Linked DNA regions of Daphnia pulex. The protein of the gene in region 3 interacts with the protein of the main gene of each other region in a biochemical or structural test. Links are inferred from orthologs where the notes say so. Each region holds a gene or a part of one and is shown on either strand. Other genes may lie near its edges. The genes, in order: ubiquitin-conjugating enzyme E2 N, ubiquitin-conjugating enzyme E2 W-like and E3 ubiquitin-protein ligase CHIP-like.

What was found.
Region 1: the proteins of E3 ubiquitin-protein ligase CHIP-like (region 3) and ubiquitin-conjugating enzyme E2 N form a complex in vitro, tested with the Homo sapiens proteins (11 studies listed by BioGRID and IntAct). The link is inferred for Daphnia pulex from reciprocal best matches to the Homo sapiens genes STUB1 and UBE2N.
Region 2: the proteins of E3 ubiquitin-protein ligase CHIP-like (region 3) and ubiquitin-conjugating enzyme E2 W-like form a complex in vitro, tested with the Homo sapiens proteins (7 studies listed by BioGRID, with this or other methods). The link is inferred for Daphnia pulex from reciprocal best matches to the Homo sapiens genes STUB1 and UBE2W.

What each region holds. Positions count from the first base shown.
Region 1 is NC_060019.1:11,512,985-11,516,518, reverse strand, and holds ubiquitin-conjugating enzyme E2 N, read right to left. Parts: upstream 2,104-3,534; 5' UTR 1,907-2,103; coding exon 1,877-1,906; intron 1,749-1,876; coding exon 1,658-1,748; intron 1,585-1,657; coding exon 1,429-1,584; intron 1,192-1,428; coding exon 1,010-1,191; 3' UTR 646-1,009; downstream 1-645. Other genes in the region: YY1-associated factor 2-like, read left to right, coding at 1-84; protein AAR2 homolog, read left to right, coding at 2,689-2,855, 2,949-3,064, 3,128-3,244, 3,308-3,534. UniProt on the Homo sapiens protein: The UBE2V1-UBE2N and UBE2V2-UBE2N heterodimers catalyze the synthesis of non-canonical 'Lys-63'-linked polyubiquitin chains. This type of polyubiquitination does not lead to protein degradation by the proteasome.
Region 2 is NC_060027.1:2,995,253-2,999,252, reverse strand, and holds ubiquitin-conjugating enzyme E2 W-like, read left to right. Parts: upstream 1-1,234; 5' UTR 1,235-1,771; coding exon 1,772-1,819; intron 1,820-1,886; coding exon 1,887-1,978; intron 1,979-2,055; coding exon 2,056-2,158; intron 2,159-2,231; coding exon 2,232-2,283; intron 2,284-2,362; coding exon 2,363-2,466; intron 2,467-2,534; coding exon 2,535-2,610; intron 2,611-2,688; coding exon 2,689-2,702; 3' UTR 2,703-3,415; downstream 3,416-4,000. UniProt on the Homo sapiens protein: Accepts ubiquitin from the E1 complex and catalyzes its covalent attachment to other proteins.
Region 3 is NC_060019.1:9,014,777-9,018,479, forward strand, and holds E3 ubiquitin-protein ligase CHIP-like, read right to left. Parts: upstream 2,381-3,703; 5' UTR 2,185-2,380; coding exon 2,095-2,184; intron 2,013-2,094; coding exon 1,886-2,012; intron 1,826-1,885; coding exon 1,754-1,825; intron 1,682-1,753; coding exon 1,554-1,681; intron 1,470-1,553; coding exon 1,356-1,469; intron 1,289-1,355; coding exon 1,232-1,288; intron 1,154-1,231; coding exon 1,037-1,153; intron 980-1,036; coding exon 854-979; 3' UTR 634-853; downstream 1-633. Other genes in the region: CD82 antigen-like, read left to right, coding at 2,943-3,017, 3,211-3,426, 3,550-3,703. UniProt on the Homo sapiens protein: E3 ubiquitin-protein ligase which targets misfolded chaperone substrates towards proteasomal degradation.

The DNA.
Region 1 (3,534 bases), about 2.5 Mb from region 3:
GGACACACGACCAGTAGTTCTAGCAGTAGTGCCAGCAATCACGGCAACGATCTTTCCCCTGCAGATCAAGAACATTCAGACTGACTAAAGTCGTTGCTCGTGATTCATTTTTTTATTATTATTTAGCATCTCGAGGTATTTTATTTGAACTGTATTTGTTTGCGCACCCAATTGACCCCATACCGATCTTTTCTCAACTGCCAAGAAGTATATAATTTTTAAATATCTATAAAGGCTATAATTTGGTCCCAACCGAATTTCAGTGAGATAGAACTGGAGCGACAGACGTCCAAACCGAAAACTATACATGAAAAACCAAGAGGCAGTTGTCTATAACTATTCTGGATTCAAAGTTTTTCCCTTTTTTTTTTTTGTAACCACGAAATTCCATAATGTTGGAGATTATTTTTGAGTGTTGGGAATTCCTGTTTCTGATCGGATCTCAGTACCAATATTCGCTTCCCTTTTTCGGTTTGAACCTACCTCATCTGAACGGTGCGAAGAGGTCGGGGAAGATTTGGTAAAAAATTGATTATGTCTGTCGAGTGGATGGTTTTCGTTTCGTGATAAATGTGCGCTCTCATCCGTCTTTATAATTTCACCCTCCTCATCCACGACAAGTAAATACACAGCTGTACAATTTGATACTCTAGACTTCCACGGGTGACGGCATTTTTATTATTCTTTAGTATCCTTTTGAGGTACTCGTGGTACTAAACGGTAAAAAGTGTAGGCTATCGACGATCATTTTAACGACGCGTGAATTGGAATGAACCGTCGATAGAACTTTTGACGAGCAAACAAAAGAAGATTGGGATATAAGAACGAGCAAAATGTAGTTTTTTGGCTGATCACCATCGGGGACAGTTCAACCAATTGAAGGGAGGGGAATCAGTCGACAAAGGCTGATGGACGAGGAACAAAAGAAAGCAAAATAATCTAAATTCAAACACAATTTCTCGGTAACGGATTGACAATTTTACTCTTTTTCCTTCCACAGATCCAGGTTTCATATGTTTCCCATAGCATAAGTTCTGGTCCATTCTCGAGCATTACGAATAGCTTCTACCTCGTTGACTTTCCACAACTCAGCAACATCATTGGCCAATGGATCATCGGGATTGGGCGCACTCAATAGAGCTTGAATCGACAACAGCACTGTCCGAATTTGCAAAGCTGGACTCCATTTATCTGAAAATATTAGAAAATATTAAACAAAGCCAAATCCACACACTTAAGTTTTTCAAGCAAATGCAACTTTCTGAAGTTAAAACTGATTTTTTCCCCAGTTACTTAAAAATTCAAAGCACAAATGTCATAACAATACAGGTATACCCTGATAACCAAAACACAAGATTATACATGCATAGAACACATAACACTTGACAATCTTGATAGAGCAAACACTAAAGTAATAAAAATAATCACCTTTCAGAATATCAAGACAAATTCGGCCAAGTTTATCAATATTAGGGTGATAAATCTTTGTCATGAATCGCACTTTAGGTGCAGACATTGGGTACTCTTCAGGCAAAAATAGTTCCAATTTGAAAACACCACCTTCAAATGGAGAACCTTCTGGACCTATGAATTTTAATCAATATGAACTAGTCAGTACCAGAATGACACTTTAAGGTTGCAATTTAAGTTTACAGACCTGCAACCACAACATGGAAATAACGAGCATTTTGTTCATCTGGAACTGCACTAATGCCTGGGACAGGCTCAGCCATCAAACGTTGAGTTTCCTATTGATCAAATTAATGACGAATATACTATATTGCTAGAGAATACTACCGGTCCCATAATAGGATCGGGAGAAAAAAACACGTTGCCTCCCACTTTGATGCAAGTCTACAATTAAGATTTGTGTTACCTTGATTATCCTTCTAGGTAAGCCTGCCATTTCGCATCAATTTGTTGAACAAACAACGAGTATAAAATAAGATTTTCGTATAATAGATGGTAACTTTAAAGCCAAATAGAGAAGACGGAAAGTTTTCACGCTATACGAGTGCCCTATTGCTAATTTAAGACGTTGTCAAATTGTTTGGTGACGAAAATCGGTAGGAGATCGACCCGGCCACACGGGAAGAATTAGACATATAAACATATTATTTTTCAAATTAAGACGATTTATTTAAAATGAACAAAGTTTATTTGAATTGGTTTACAAACGGAAATACACGAGAAAGCTAAACAAAAGGTATTGCTTTTCAAATGCCGGAAATGAGTTTAAACCTTTATTTCAGAACCGTAGAAAATGACCAGTAAAAATTTTTTGGTTAGATTAATTGGCTGTTCTGTTTGCGGAATATTTTAATTATTTTCATGAATCATCTAGAAAGAATTTCGACTTGAAAGTTGAAATAAATTGAAAAAGGGCAAATTAACTAATAAGGCATGATTAAGATTGAATGGCAGGCTTCAACACATAAAATTTTTTATTTTATCACTTTCTTCTCCTATCCTTCTTCATGTTAATTTTATTCCCTTTTTTTATGCAAAATTGCTAGAATTTAACTCGGCAAGTCGGCATCCGGTACTGATCTGACGTCTGACCTCCATGTTGTTTGTTTTTAAACTGTCGTCTGCTAGTATTGTTCGTTCATTGCTTTTGCGTGGTTTCATTCACTCAGCTTCATTCTGTTTTAAAATATAAACCATCAAGTGTCAAACACGGAAAGAATGGATCAAAAATTGGCTAACAAATTATTTGAAGAGGGCGCGTTTTTATTTCTTCTTGGCGTACCAATTGGGACTGAAGTAGGAATAGATTTCAACAGTTGGAGAACCGGCGAAAAATTCAAAGGCATAAAAATGATACCCCCTGGAATTCACTATATTTATTACAGGCAAATAAGTTATTTTTTGTTAGAACAGTTGTGTGAGTGTAACATTCACTGTGAGGTACAAAATGTGATTGTATATTTTTATATAATTTCTAGCTCTGTAAGCAAGGAAGGTTCCGTAGCGCCAAGAACAGGTTTCTTTTACAACTTCAATAAGAAGGAAGTTGTGGTCCGTAAGTGGAACCCAGAAATAGAAGATGTCATCAACGATTGTAATTTTATTTTATAAATCATTATTTAATATTAATTTATTATTTAGTGTTTATCCATAATAGGTACTGATGAAGAAAGAGAAAGTTTAAAAGCCAATTTAAAAAATCTTGATCAGCACTTGGGTCCATATCCATTTGATACCTGGAAGAAATGGATGTCTCTCAGCAGTAAATTGACAAGTATATTTTCTTATACATTATGTAATCTGTACAAAAATAAAATGTCTAACAATTAATATTTAGCTGATGTAGTTGGGAAAGTGGAACCCCTTCAGCAAAAGATTTCATCAGTTACAGAATTAATTTCATCAGAAGATGTACCAGCACCAGCAGAATCTCCAGTGAAAGAAAAAAGAATAAAGAGGTCAAATTATGAAGATGAATTACTACCGCACATGCAACCAAAGCCAGGCACAGCGTTAAATTTTACCAAAGTCCCTGTTGATTTCTATCCAGTAGGATCAAGTGCC
Region 2 (4,000 bases), on a different chromosome or scaffold from region 3:
GCTCATGCCCTACACGATTGAGCCATGTCATCTGTCGTGCTCGGAGATAATCAAGAGAATGTACATTTTTAATTGTGTTGGAAACTTTTTATTTGCGCCATAATAGAAACCGTGTTATAAGACATCCGCAGTGTATCAGAATGCATTATGCAATCTGACTAAACAAAAATGGCAAATGTTTGCAGAAAAATATTAATTGAATTAAGTTTTGGGTCCTCTCAAAACATCTCCAGTGGCGCAGTTGGTTAGCGCATGGTACTTATAGACAGTAATATATGCAAAACTAACATCAAAATAAAGATTGAAAGTAATGCCGAGGTCGCGAGTTCGAGCCTCGCCTGGAGAAAATTATTTAATTAATTTGCGAAATAAATAAAAAAAAATGTTGATACTTCGTTGTTTCCCACTACTGTCGCCGAGACAATGAAGAATCGATCAAACAACGTCGATTCGCTCGACTTGCGTCACTCACACCTATTGCATAATGTGTTACGTCAATATGACACTGCTGTTGTCACTATATCTTGTTAGTCCTTAAAGGATTCGCAACTGCCATAAATATCTCCAACTGAAAACAATACTACCGTTACGCTTTTGTTGTCACTTGTAAAAGATAAGGGCTCCCACCTTTTTAAAAAAACATCAACGTCTCAGTTTTGTTATAATACCATATGTCATCAATCGATAACTTTCTGCCTTAAGGTTATATAGGAGATGTACAGTACCCAGTCCCAATTAGCTGACGCGGGACACAAATTAGACAGTTAGCAGTGACATTGCACGACAAAGGAGGTTAAGGAAGACGCAACTTGGCCCGTTTGCGTAGTTATTGTTTCCGCTCACGAACCACAAAAGTTCAGTGAACGTTGGAATCCCCCAACTTATTGACGTTTGTTTTTTGTCTGCGTGTGAACTGGAAAAGAAAGAAACTCGCTGAATCAGAGATGAAGGGCAATCTTATTTGCGACGTAAAAAGAAATAAACGACGATAAATGTTTATTACAGGCAGTTTCCACGGTCGTTGAACTCGCAACTTCCGCATCTGCTTTCCGCAATTCACAGCGTTCCGCACAACTGCGTCTGCGAAATACCCAGACGTTTTTGGAGGAAGAAAACAAAACATGTCATCACATCACTCGCGTTTCACATGTTCTCCTGCTCAGGTAAATATTAAATAAAAAAATGCTTCAGTTTAATAAGTGTGAACGTATTCAGAATGGCGAAACGTTAAAGAGCCGCCTGCAATTATCTAGTCGTAGTTGGTAGAAAATGAAACTCGAGGAACCTTCGGTTGCCATGTCAGCTTGTCCTTCAATCTCATCATTATTTGGACTTGTCCTTGACATTTTGCTAGTAAAACTTTTCTTTTAAGTAATATTCTTGACTCGGTTTGAGGTTTCGGAAGTCTTTTTAGCGGTAAAAATAGCTATACTGCTCTGGAGATGGTGTGTGTTCTTGAAGCTTGCTAATCGGTTATGGCACAGATTCAACCAACTGCTTCCTTATTCTTCCCAATTGAGTCACCTGAGAAAATGAAACCCTAGAAGAGAGTTCTGACTTATTGGCACATGTCAGTTTGGCACATGTCTGGTGTGGCTTTGCACGGTTCACGTGAAGTGAAACCCTGCAGCGTACTGTCAAACTGGTGACATTTCCTTTCTATAAAAGGAGAAAGCTACATAAGTGGCAAGTTAGTTCTTGGATCGGTGAGTATAGTTTTCGCATTACTTGCTGGTGGTTGTGTCTCACATTATTGGTGCCCACTGCGAATATGAGTGACAAATCCCTGACTCAATCGTGTGTTCTTCAGAGACAAGAGGTTAACCCTGATTGTTGCCGAATAGATCAGTATCTAAATAAAACTCAATTTTTTTTTAATATTACAGAAAAGGCTGCAAAAGGAGCTTGTCTCCTTGATCAAGGAACCTCCTCCTGGTGTTGTGATCGATGGAGAATCTGTGGGCCAGAGCCTGGACTTGTAAGATTGACTTGACATTTTGTTGGACAAGTGCATCACACTTTTTTCACTTTATTTTTTTCAAATCTCACTTCCAGGTTGGTGTTGAGTATTAATGGAGCTCAAGGAACGATTTACGAAGGGGAGCAGTTTCAGTTACAGTTTCGTTTCGGACCAAAGTACCCTTTCGATTCGCCCGAGGTAACACCTTTCAGTCAACGAATTGACCAAAACCAACACGTATGTTTTACTCATTTGAGACCACTCTCTTTAGGTTGTTTTCGTCGGATCGGAGATCCCTGTCCATCCGCACGTCTACAGCAACGGTCTGTCTAGCGTGAAACCCTTAAAAGATGGTCAATAATTTAACCGCGGCTCTTTTCTCCAACCTTTTCGGTTATTCAGGCCACATCTGCCTCAGTATATTGACCGATGACTGGTCACCGGCTCTGTCCATTTTTTCGGTCTGTGTTTCCATTATCTCAATGCTCAGCTCTTGTAAAGAAAAGGTCAGTTTCAATTGTGTGAAAAAGTATCTTTCTCACCCATCACTCATTCACGACTATTGACCCGTTAGAAGAGACCACCGGATGACAGTATGTACGTGAAAACGTGCAGCAAGAACCCAAAGAAAACCAAATGGTGGTACCACGGTGAGTTTGAATGGCTACCGCCTAAACCCGAGTTATTATTAATCTTTTTTAACCATAAATCATTTCCCAATTTGCCAGACGAAGAAGTGTAAAACGGGTTGATATCTCTCCCCCTCGATTCCCGCTACGAAAAGAAAAAGAACCTGTTTCACGCTGGCGATGCTCGCGTCAGAGACAATCTAGTCGCCAAAAAAATACGAAAGAAAACAAAAATGGATTTTCTTTTTTCAGTTGTCAAAATTTTCCACCCTTCCGAATCGATCGCGTTGATTTCCCATTCCCGATATTGACCTACTACTTCCTCGCATAACGAAACAGTTCCTCTCTGTCTTGATTAATATGCGGTTGATACTCTCCAATTTTTGACTTGTAGCAATATTCACGAAAAACTACAGATGTGTAATGTTTCACACTTTTGGCGTTTGATTTTTCGACTTTTAATCGACATCAAATCTACGAAGCCTTTTTCCCCCCTTCTACTGTGTTTTATCTTACCCCCACCCATTCTTTAAATGTTAAACGAAAAATATTTCGCTCGTATAAAATTTGTTTCAACTATTATACTCAAATTCTTTTTCATTTCACGTTTGGAAGACAAAAAAACTAAACGATTTGAATTAGCCAAGTAAATAATGAATTGTATATTTCTGAAATGGTTTCAAAATCAGAGGGTAGTAGGGCGCAAATTTTGTAATCGACTTTTTCTGTTTTATTATCCTTTTCGAGAACATTTTTTGATGTGTGTGTGTGTGTGTCTTGTGTGATGTTTTTGTTTCGAAAGAAATAGAAGAAGAGATTAAAGTTCGTTTCCGACAGCTTTTTTTTAAGACTCCGCTATAACAACAGCAATGAAGGGCGTGACAAAACATACTTTTGGGTAAACGTAGAGATTAATTAAGGTGGGCGACTTGAAAAAAAATGTCATTCGTCAATTAATGATCGTATTATACACACACACACCATGACTCATGTTAATGTTAAAATAGCCAGTCATATGAGGAGTGTATATATAGCGGATATGAGCTGAAGAAAAGGAGAGGAAGAAAGGTTTTTTGACAAACAAATTCTCCTGGGTAATAAAAAGGGAAAGGTTTAAAAAAAAAAAAACAATTTAACTTTTTTTTTTCGTTTTTTCTTTTTTTTTAAATCAATTAATAAAATCAGAAAGGAGGAAATCTAAAATGATTGAGCGCTGCACGGTATTCCGTCGGACGTGTACACACTGAGAAGAAACAAATCCGCCGAGCTATTTTATCCTTTTTTAAAAAATAATAATTACAAAAATCCGAACTGCATTTTTTAAAATTCATTAAGGAGAAACGAAGAAACAATTTTGAAATTGAAATAGAATTACAAAGAGAGAGAGAGAAGAATAAGGAGGGCAGGGGGG
Region 3 (3,703 bases):
CTTTATAGGACAGTCGAAGCGCGAAGAGGGGGAAAAAAAAAGTTAAGAAATCGATGCAACAACAAGTGCTAGGCTATGCATTAAATTGAAAAACTTCAACTTGAGACCTAGGAACAGGAACAGTAACGTTTCCGCCCTTGTATGCACACTGCAAGATACACAACAGACTTCTCTCTAGAGTGCTGATAAGATAATAACTGTAGTTGACGACGTGGCAAACACAATTTACCCATGGGACGTTTATTATAATTTAAGTGAATATCGGTCCAGTCCCGTGCTGTACCAGGATCGATAGTACCGTCCGTTCAAGTCGACCCCCCTGATTAATGACCAACTTAACCAACTCTGATACAATTGTCCTTGGCCACATCCACAACGAACCACGCCAAGCTCAATTAAGTGCTTAATGAAAGGAAACGTACCAATAGAGTTCGGCTGCAAATCATCAATTGCCTTTGGCTAAAGTAATAAAATCAATCACCCACAAACAATTGTCAGAGGAGACGATAATTTAGTCTAAAGAATATAACCTATTGAAAGATTGGAGCAATCCTACAGGTGTAGAATCTGCTCAAGGCGAACTCTGATCCCAATAAAATCAAATTTAATAGGAGGTTCATAATCAGGTATATATAAAATTTCCAGCATCGTCTATTGAAGTACAACAGCAATGTGCAATCAATAGCGAAAGACTGTATAGCAACATTTACTTCCTGATTATCATCCAACCCGATAGGAAACATCACAACTGGGGCTCGGCGATTCAAATCATAATATATATCGATTTCATTTAATACAATGCGGCGGAGTTTTTAAGAGAATCAAAATCAATGAATGATCCTTAAAAAAGTGGTTAGTAGTGCTGAGCCCATTCGTTTTCGGTCAGGTACGAGTCGACAACTTCTTTCATGGAGAAATTTGGAATCAATTGGTCTTTGGTCAATTTAACTCGCGTCACAGGGTCAAAATGTCCAACTCGCTGCGTAAAAACAAATCTTTTGGCTAATATCTACTAGGCAATTTTGAATTCACTTACCTGCAAATGTTCTTCGATGTCTTTCCTATCGTAGGTTATTCCTGAAGGAGTGATGACTGGATCTCTCATGATCTCGAAAGAGATTTTGCCACATAAATAGTCTGGAACTTCACGTTTCTAACCGACACAATTACAAAGACAATTTCTTAATGGTATAAGACGTACTGAAACACACAGTTGAATAATTTATAGTACCATTCTTCGGTCATCGACGGTTGCGAAAAGGTCATTCAATTCAGCCAGGTAGCGATCCTACCGATTTTAATCAAGTATTATTAGTCTACTAACGAAACAAGAAAAATACTCTAGATATGCTCACGGTGACGTTCTCTATGTTCGAAATTTCGTTTTCCACTGAACTGTATTCTTTGTCTTGACTAACCAAATCGATTTGTCGATCTCGATCCTCTCGAATGAGCCTATTTATATACATCTATCAAAATAAAATCCAAGTTTCAAATGAATCATAATTTTTTGCAAAGTGGAGTGGACAAAGAGAATGTTATTAACAGACTACCTGTAGTTCGATTTCTTGTGAAATTCTTTTCTCCTCCTGCTTTGTAAAATGATGCTTCTTTGCCAGTCTTAACTGACTGGTAATATCATCCCCAAAATTAAGTTTCTGATCCATCGAAAGATCACGGGCTAATAACAAGCAAATTTCAATAATCAGATTTTATGTGTTCAAAATTTATGTTAAGTTGGGGAAATGAGTACCCCTTTGAAGATGTTTTATTGCTTCCTCATAGCATTCTTTTTCCATTAAAGCTTGGCCCAGAAAGAAATGCCCTAAACATAATAGCAATATATAGCATTTTCAGAGTATTTTGAAGAATTTATACTAAAAACCTTTCACCCAAGTGTTGTCTAACTCTAAAGCACTTTTGCAATCTTGCACTACTGCATCCCAACGGCCAAGCTTGAGAGAGCAGAGAGCTCTATTTGTGTAGTATTGTGGAACAGAACCATTTTTAAGCTAAAGAAAACAATTACAATTACTTTGATTTACGCGTTGCAAAACAAAATAATTTATGCTTAATTTAATTAAAGAAATTTACAATGGCTTTGGAATAGCATGAAATTGCTTCATCGAAACGTCGAGCTAAAAACAACTTATTCCCCTGATCTTTGTGTTCTCTGTCACTCATTTTCTTCTCTAAAAAAGAAACTATTGGGTGCTGTAGGATCGAGAAAGAATTTAAAAAAGCAACACTATCACATAAAATAGATACGAAAACGTAATTGCACAATTCCAATTAACGTCAGATATTCTGACACTAAAGCGGAAAACAACAAAAACGCTTTTAATAAATAAACTATAAAATGCGGATGAAAGTAAAGTAAAGTGCGGATTGTGGAAAGACCTTTTCACCGCCATCTACCATCCAATAAAAATAGATTTTAATCTATGATGAATACGCGCAGTAGACGCCATAACGATTCCTATCTAATTTGAAAATTAGGATAAGAAAATTAATTAGAGCTGTTAAAGCAGAGAATTTATTGAAATAAGCAAAAGAAAAGGTTATTTGGAGTGATATACATCCGACCTGGATACACGCGCGTACAATTTTGACTGCGCACTGCTGGGCTTTAACCTAGAGAACAGTAGGCGATCCGCAGTGGTTATTCTGGTTATTTACTTATTTAATCGTGTGACCATCTCAGGAGTTAAAACTTCGAAGCGTGAGACCAACTGGTGGAGTCAACGTGGTTTTATGGATTACGATATTAATGATAGACGTCACTTTTTTATACCGTTTGGGTTCCGGCTGTATTGCTTGTTTGCAAATGTATTTTCTTTTACTCGGATTTTGGGTTTCCTGTTAGTGGTACAGTAAGTTTCCTTATCACACGGGCTTTCATTCCGATTTGAAATAGTAACTGGAAAAACAGTCAAAGGGAAATGACGGACGAGGTTACGTTCCGTTCCCACAAGATTTTACGATGGAGTTTTTTGTGCCTCAACTTGTTAATCCTGGTAAACATATTATTCTATTACAATGTAATTGTAGATTTGTTAAAATATTAACAGTTATATTATTCCAACGTGAGTTTACTAAAGAATTTAACTGAAGATGGTTGAAATTATCGAATTAAATGTTGCGTTTGGAAGACTGGGTTTGTTATTGCTTTTCATAAAATATGATACTGACATATTCTTTGAAATGCAGTTGAGCGGCATTGTATTAATCTCCTTGTCGGCGTCGTCACTTGTACAACGTCAAGAATTTGCAAAAGGATCAGACAAACAGAAATTTTTGGTGGTAAACGACAAATATATGGTTATGAACATCGTGGTTGCAATTGCCGTCAGCGGTCTACTCATATTTCTTAGCCTATTCGGGATGTGTGGTGCCTTTGGCGAGAAAAAATGCCTGATATCTTGCGTAAGCTCGTGTTTGTATAAAAAAAAAAAAACAAAAAAAGATTTTAGAGTAATTTTCTTTCTCCTTTGACTAAATGGAATATTTCGCTACGATGAATGATTGCATCGCACTGCTCGCCTTCAGTACCTGGTTTTCGTATTACTAAATCTTGGATTCGTAATTGTGGGAGGAATAATGGTTCTTCGCTTTTCCAAAATAACCGAAAATTCTCTGAAGGAAAACATTTCTAATTATCACCACAATAAAACTTCAAAAATTCGTGTGGATGAAATCCGAA